2 linked regions of the Mus musculus genome follow. The protein of the gene in region 2 binds, or shares a complex with, the protein of the main gene of each other region. Links are inferred from orthologs where the notes say so. Each region holds a gene or a part of one and is shown on either strand. Other genes may lie near its edges.

Region 1 (3,746 bases), on a different chromosome or scaffold from region 2:
AACCCTCTTCTAAATTTCCTTTTCATGGATTTTAAATTATAAATTGGTCATTTACTGCTCTCATACATCATGTTGCTGAATTTTCCACGGATCATATTCCTTTTAGTACCTTTCTCTAGATCACTCATTTTTTCCTTTTACTCGTTATCCACCCTCTTTGACCACCCCCCCGCCCCCCAAATAATTCTCCTGGACAAAAAAGTGCCCCCCTCGCACCCCCTCCCGGCATCTTGCATAGTCTTTAAAGTTTTGGGTAAAATCTTAAACAAATCGGGTAAAGATAAGTAATTCCTGATAGGGCGTACTTATCTATCTCAGGGTAGGAGAAGACGGGTTTTTAACATGACTGGGGTAATTAAGGAGATCAAAAAGCCATGAAGGATGTTCATTCTCCATGCCTAGGTTATTGTATAATTATTATGTGGCAAGTTGCCTTTTCTCAGACCTTTTAGGGTGAGTTTGCATGCTCTCCATACAGAAGGAATTCTAGAAGCTGGGATTGCACCACCCACCCCACGCACCCCTTACTTGCAGAAACCTTTGCCCCTCCAACCCCCACTCCCACCAAATAAGGGCTCTACAAGGGGCAGTCCTCAGCTCCAGAGCCTGAGGCTTGACACCCATTGTCCCCGTTAGGATGTCAAGAGATTTCGCCTGAAGGACCCCAGCTTAGGTTTCACTCAAAACTCAAGGATCTGGGATAACGGTCTCCGTGAGGGTACTTTCCAGATATGCAAAGGGACAGGAACCTGGCGCCGAGGACACGGCCCGACGGGAGGCGCGGTCCGGTGACCTTTTTTCGACAGGCATTCCAGTCGGGCAGCCTCACCGGCTTGAAGGCCCTCGCTCCCTATTGCTCCCGCCCCCCCTCGTTGCAGAGCGCTGGCTGGCTAAGTCCCTCCCGCGCCGGCTCTTGTCCCACTAGGAGCAGCTCAGAGCCGCGGGGACAGGGCGAAGCGGCCTGCGCCCACGGAGCGCACGTCTCTGTTCTCAACGCAGCACCACCCTTGCCCCCCTCGGCTGCCCACTCCAGACGTCCAGCGGCTCCGCGCGCGCACGGTGAGCGCCATCCCGGATCAAAGGCGCCGAAGGGGAAGAAGGCCGCTGTACCTGGGTGTCCTTTTTACCTTCGGAGCGGTCCGAGCGGCTGGGAGGGCTCGCTCAGGGCCTCCCCACCCCCACCCCCAACCCGGTCACTCCAAGTGCCCTTCTCCACCCCTGGCCCTGACCTTTGTCCCTCTCGTTCTCGCAAGGCAACGGGTGCCACTTGCCCCGATGGGGACCGTTGCCCTGGCGGTTGACGGCGGCCGTGCCAGGCCCCGCCCCCGGCGCGAGCTTGGTGCCCCGGGGAGGGGGGAGGGGCGGGCGGCCCGGCGCCCCGCTGGCGGGTCGCGCGCGTGCCCGTGGGCCCCTTCCTGCCGGCGGCGCGCGCCGCCCCCTCCCCCCACCGCGCGCGCGCGTAGCCGCCTGCCCGCCCGCCCGCTGCGCGTTTTGTCCCGCGTCTCTCCCCGTCCGTCTCCTGACTTGCTGGTCTTGTCCTTCCCTCCCGCTTTTTTCCTCTCCTCTCTTCTCGGTCTAAAGATGCCCTCGGCCACCAGCCACAGCGGAAGCGGCAGCAAATCGTCGGGACCGCCGCCGCCGTCCGGTTCCTCCGGGAGTGAGGCGGCGGCCGGGGCAGCTGCGCCGGCTTCTCAGCATCCGGCAACCGGCACCGGCGCCGTCCAGACCGAGGCCATGAAGCAGATTCTCGGCGTAATCGACAAGAAACTTCGGAACCTGGAGAAGAAAAAGGTGCGAGGAGTTAGTGGAGAGGGAGGGCTCGTGGCTCCAGCCCTACACCGGTCCCGGCGGTGGATGGTGCTCCTTGCCCAGAAAACGGGCGCCTCGGGGAGGTGCCTGTCACCTGACCCCAACGCGGCGCTGCCTCTAGGCCTCGGTTACTCACATCAGGCTGAGCGGGGCCTTTCCGCCTGGTGACCGGTTGCTTGGGTGGTGGGCCCGTTGCTGGGTATGCTCCCAAACTGAGGCCTGACTTTTGAAGGAGGCCAAGGGGAAGAAACAGTGTGCCCGGCCCGATTGCTCGTGGAGTTGAGCGGTCCATGCCTTGTAACTGTGGCGTTTGCCTTTGGTACCTAGGCTGGGGGCTGGTGGAATGGCTCTCTTCCCAAGAAAAGATATGTGTCTAGACCTGAACTAGGGTTGCAGTCCCGTCAAGTCCTAGTTAAGCGGGCCTTTGCTTGGGTACCCCCGCCCCCTTCCGATGGGCTCCCTACGTTTCCCCCTTTGTTTCGATTGTCTGGGTGCTTGGAACCTCACGCCCAGCCTAGTCACGAGGTAGTTTTTAAATGAGTGTTTTTTGTTGTTGTTTTTTGCCATGACCTTTTCTTTTTAATTTATTATTTTTTACCGCTTCAGCATTCTAAAGGGTCAGGGAGATTTCCTTGATCTTTCGGAGGTGGATCTAGTTTAGACTGGAGACTGCCTCTGGGTCTCTGGGCACATGGAGTGTCTAACATGGCGGCGGCTGCGGGAGAGGGAAGCGCTGTACAGGAGCTGCATTGTGAGCACAAAGCGAAAGCAGAGGGGGAGGGCAGAGACCAGGCAGCAGCCCCGCCTAGCCCCCCCTCCCAAAAAGTCGAGCCACACCCACACTGTTTTGGCTTTAATATTTAGCCATTCTGGACCATACTGTTAGATTACTTAAACCGGCTTTTTTGTTTTATGCGTTTAGTGTAGGACCGTATACCAACACAGTTTAGAGGAAGAGTCTGGGTAGAAGTAAATTTCTACCCTGATTAAGAAAAGTAGTGGAAAGGGACAAACATGGGGTGGTAGAGTGAAAATGGAGGCAATTTACCTGGAACTGTTATTCTAACTTGCCCTTTTACATTAAGTATAATGTAACTTTTGATAACTTATGCCTGCCGGGGCATATTTTAAAATTTTGAAAAATTCCCATGAAGATGTTTAGTTAGTTGTTTAACTAGTTAGAGGAGATTAGTGAGATAGGATATTGGCTAAAAATCTGAGCTGTAGGAGGTAAGTTGGAAAAATCCAGGCTATTTACATCTTAATCTTGTGGTTTATCTGCTGATTTCCCATTTTTAGTAGTGAGTTTGAAACATTCACCTTTGTACTTTTTCTGTTTCAGTGTTGAAGAGTGGCCATATTACTAAAACTTCCCAGACTTTATTTGAAATTGTGAATATACATGAACAAGATATGAAACTTTAGCTATTTTGATAAGAAATTTTAATGTATTAAATTATTAAATAGTGAAAAGAGGAAATATTAAAATAGTGAAAGCACTGTAAGCTACATTCAAATATGGAATTTCATGCCAGCATTTCCTTTTTTTTTCTTTTTTTTCTTTTTGAGACAGGGTTTCTCTGTGTACCCCTGGCTGTCCTGGAACTCACTCTGAAGACCAGGCTGGCGCCTCTAACTCAGAAATCCTCCTGCCTCTGCCTCCCAAGTGCTGGGACTAAAGGCTTGCGCCACCACACCCTGCTAGCATTTTCTGATACTTGCGTGTGTTTGGTACCCTGTGTGAAATTGAGTTTAACTTGGGTATCTTTAAATTTTCCTAATGCAATAAAGCAGTGTTGTTAGGCTGTTGCTCCAAACGGTTTAATTTTTGGAATTTCTGGGAACTCAGTTTCTTGTAGAATAGGATCCGACATGAGCTTTAATGATTTGAGGTATCAATGTTAGTGGTTGCAAATTCTTCAAATATGTTTATTAAA
Region 2 (3,646 bases):
CCGTGGAGAGAGATTGGCAAGTATGTGCCAGCTAAGTCAGATGTGGAGACATGCCTGTAATTCCAGTGTTCCAGAGGCTGAGGCAAGGGGATTGCTGTGAGTTTGAACGTTGCCTGCATGGGCTCAGCAACAAAACTATGGTAGTTTTCTGGGAAAATATTTTAATTGTGTTATTTCTTAATAACTAGCAATATGCAACTTTTACTTATTTTATAGGAGATACTATGGAAAGTGTTGAATGTGTATGGTTTAGGTTGCTAATTGTTTTGAAGACAGGTGCTCACCATGTAGCTGAGGCTAAGCCTGGAACATCTGTCTGAGTGTTCGAGATGCTGGGATTGTAGGCACGCACACATATATCAGAAGAGTTCATTTAACTAGAGTAATAAAATGTCGAAGCCATAAGCTGAGTAATAATGAATTTATAGTCCAGCCCTGCAGCTCAGAGGAAGCGGCGTGGCATAGGATGACCTGAGTTAGGTTCCTGGAACCCCGTGTTAGAAAGAGAGAATTGACCTTGAGGATCTTTTCTGCCCTCCACGTGTGTGCCGTGAATTTCAGGCTGTCCTGAGGGCTGGAGAGACTGCTCAGCTGTGATAGGCACTGGCTGCTTTTGCAGAAGATTTGAGTTTAGTTCTCACCACTCACATGGTACCTTAGTACTTCTTTAACTCGAGTTGCAGGAATCATGTTTTTGGTGCACTGTATACTCTTAAAAACATGTATACACTTAAAAACATGTAGACATATAAAAATACTATTTTTAAGAGGACAGTTTTGGCCTACATGACAAAAACCCTTGTTTAAAATTTTCTCATGACCTCAAATAATGAGTGTGATGTTGTCTTAGTTTTTTATGTTCCTGATAGGCCACTGAGCCACGATTGTTCCAGATGTCAGTGCTCAGTGTTCAATCAAGTGTTTATCAAGGTGTGGTCAAACCTGTTCATGCTAGGCTGAGAGTGAAGATGTGTTTTACGGAAGACCTACTTACTGAGGTCAGGTATCAGGAGGGAGAACAAGGCCAGGGACAGCGTTCCTTGGCAGCTGGTATGGGAATATAACCACTGTTCTTGGTCATAACTGATGTCTTCTCTTCCAGAACTCCTGGTGCATGGAGTTTGTTAAAGATTGATTTATCTACGTGTTATATGTATGTGGGTGTTCTGTGTGCATGTGCTTCTGCACATCAGAAAAGGGCATTGGATCACATAGGCAGTCAGGACCCCAGAAAGAAAGATCTTAGCCACTAAGCCACTTCTCCAGTCCCCTTGTGTATTTCTATGGGGCTTGTGTGTGGTTAAAGCCACAGATGATGACATTTACTATATTTTGAGACTGACTTGCCTTACTTGGCTTGCTGGGCCTGTGCTAGGCCTCAGAGAGTTTGATCTTTCTCTAGCCCATTCAATACAAGGGTTTTGTGATACATATATTAATAAGCTAATTAACATTAACTGAAAACCACTTGATTCTGTTTTGATCATTATATTTATCAGAATTTAGCCATCAACCTCTTGTCCTGAGACTCTCTGGAGTCATTAGATGGCTCAGAGTATCTGGGTGAGTCCCAGAGACAGGTCAAATTTTCCATTCCATGACAGCAATGACTTGGAGGAGCATTTAGAGGAGCCTGTAGTGGAACCAGAACCGGAGCCAGAGCCGGAGCCGGAGCCGGAACCTGTGTCCGACATTCAAGAGGACAAGCCTGAGGCTGCATTGGAAGAAGCTGCTCCCGACGATGTGCAGAAGAGCACTTCCCCGGCCCCGGCTGATGTGGCCCCGGCACAGGAGGACTTGAGGGTATGGGTTGTGGCTTAGCACTGTATTGCTGTCTTATTACCTGTTTGTTGTTGCTATGCTAAAGGTCAGCCCCAGGTTGTGGGTGGGAGAGTATGTGCCAGGCATGCCCCAGGCTGGCCTCAAACTCCAGACACAGCTGAGGCTGATTTGATTCTCTGGCTCCTATTTCCTATTTGTTGGGATTATATTTCTGTGTTGCCTTGCCTGATTTATAAGGCACTCAGGACTAAGCCCAGGAGTTTGTGCAAAAAAGCTGTTGCTAACTGAGCCATATATTTACTCTCTGCTAGTTTATTTATTTGAGACATGATTTCTCTGTGTAGCCTTGGCTGTTCTGGAACTTGCTCTGTAGGCCAGGCTGGCCTTGAACTCAGAAATCCAGAAATCCACTTACCTCTGCCTTTCAAGTGCTGGGCTTAAAGGCAGCCCCCCCTGCTAGTTTATTTTTAATTTTTTTCTTCGTTATAATTACTTAGTTGACTTTTACGATGATCTAGCTATTTAGCCCAGGCTGGCTTATCTTGGTCCCCTAAGTATCTGGATTATCGGGTGTAATGATAGGCAGGGCTGCTTCTAAGGCAGTTTGTGAGGTGGCAGATGCTTGTAGACTCCTGTCTGTGAGTGATGTAGAGGTGATGCGGAGCAGAAGTTAATGGCTCTTTGTCGCTCTGACATGTCCTGTTCTTCTCTAGACGTTTTCTTGGGCATCTGTGACGAGTAAGAACCTTCCTCCCAGTGGGGCTGTTCCAGTGACGGGGACACCACCTCATGTGGTCAAAGTGCCAGCGTCACAGGTAAGGGTCTGAATCTAGGACTTTGGGCAGATTTAACTATGCTTTGGACACGTGACTTAACAGGCTAAGAGAATGGGAGGGAGCCTGGTACACAGGGAGCAGATAGGAGGTGTTTCCCTGGGGTGTGTTGATTCATTGAGGACGGCAGCGCTGTGGTGAACTGCACAGTAGTAGTTAGAGTAGCACCTGACAGAAAGCAGGGGCTTCCTGATGTGTGTGAAGGTTTCTTTCTATGAGTGTGTGCATGCAGGTATAAGCCAGAGGCCAACTGCTGACAGTTTTCCTTGGGAGCTGTGTACTTTGGTGTGGTTTTTTTTTTTTTTTTGAGACAAGGTCTCTGTTGACCTGGAGCTCTCAGGTTAGGGGAGGTTGGCTGGCCTGTAAAACTTGGCGCTGCCTAGTAGTCTCACCTCCTTGGAGCCAGAATTGCTGTTTTTCTAGGTTCATAGTTTTGTTTAAGAAAATTGACAAGATGTGGGAGAGACAGCTCGGCTGTTAGAAGGAGCATTTACTGCCCTCGCAGAGAGAGGACTGGGTTCAATTTCCCAGTGTCATATGATGGCTTATGACTGTCTGAAACTCCAGTCCTAGGGATCTCATGTCCTCTTCTGCCTTCAGACGATGCATGAGTTTGAGTGCACAGAGACTCATGGATCACATACTTTTTAAACATTTACTCTTTGATTGTATGGTTATGGATATTTGCCTGCAAATTTGTTTGCATCGTGTCTGTCTTCTATCCTTGGAGGCCAGAAAATGGCACTGCAGTTATAGTTGTAAGAAACCAGGTGGGTTCTGGGACTTGAACTTGGATCCTCAGGAAGACCTACCAGTGCTCCTACCCTACACACATTTATTTTAAGTTATATATGTATATTGTTATAAACATATAAGATATGTATATACACACAGATAAACATATATATACATATATACATAAACATATATGTATGTATATATATATATATTTTTAAGTTAAAGTGTGCAGGGAGCATGGTTGGATTAATGTCTCAATGGTTAAGATCTTTCCTGTTCTTGAAGAGGATCTG

Evidence for each region. Proteins that work in one complex are often made in the same cells at the same time.
Region 1: the proteins of G3bp1 (region 2) and Caprin1 are in contact, whole or in part, in a crystal structure (PDB 8TH7), measured with the Homo sapiens proteins. The link is inferred for Mus musculus from reciprocal best matches to the Homo sapiens genes G3BP1 and CAPRIN1. Residues at the interface, in NP_005745.1 of Homo sapiens: Glu4, Lys5, Pro6, Ser7, Leu10, Val11, Glu14, Phe15, Arg17, Gln18, Thr21, Leu22, Met29, His31, Arg32, Phe33, Tyr34, Gly35, Lys36, Gln58, Lys59, His62, Leu114, Glu117, Asn122, Lys123, Phe124, Tyr125; in NP_005889.3 of Homo sapiens: Met363, Gln365, Met366, Gln367, Gly368, Pro369, Tyr370, Asn371, Phe372, Ile373, Gln374, Asp375, Ser376, Met377, Leu378.

Annotation. Positions count from the first base shown.
Region 1 is NC_000068.7:103,794,776-103,798,521, reverse strand, and holds the start of Caprin1 (caprin-1), read left to right. Parts: upstream 1-881; 5' UTR 882-1,059; intron 1,060-1,443; exon of another isoform or gene 1,444-1,581; coding exon 1,582-1,791; intron 1,792-3,746. UniProt on the Homo sapiens protein: mRNA-binding protein that acts as a regulator of mRNAs transport, translation and/or stability, and which is involved in neurogenesis, synaptic plasticity in neurons and cell proliferation and migration in multiple cell types.
Region 2 is NC_000077.6:55,493,649-55,497,294, forward strand, and holds part of G3bp1 (ras GTPase-activating protein-binding protein 1), read left to right. Parts: intron 1-1,604; coding exon 1,605-1,803; intron 1,804-2,495; coding exon 2,496-2,597; intron 2,598-3,646. UniProt on the Homo sapiens protein: Protein involved in various processes, such as stress granule formation and innate immunity. Plays an essential role in stress granule formation.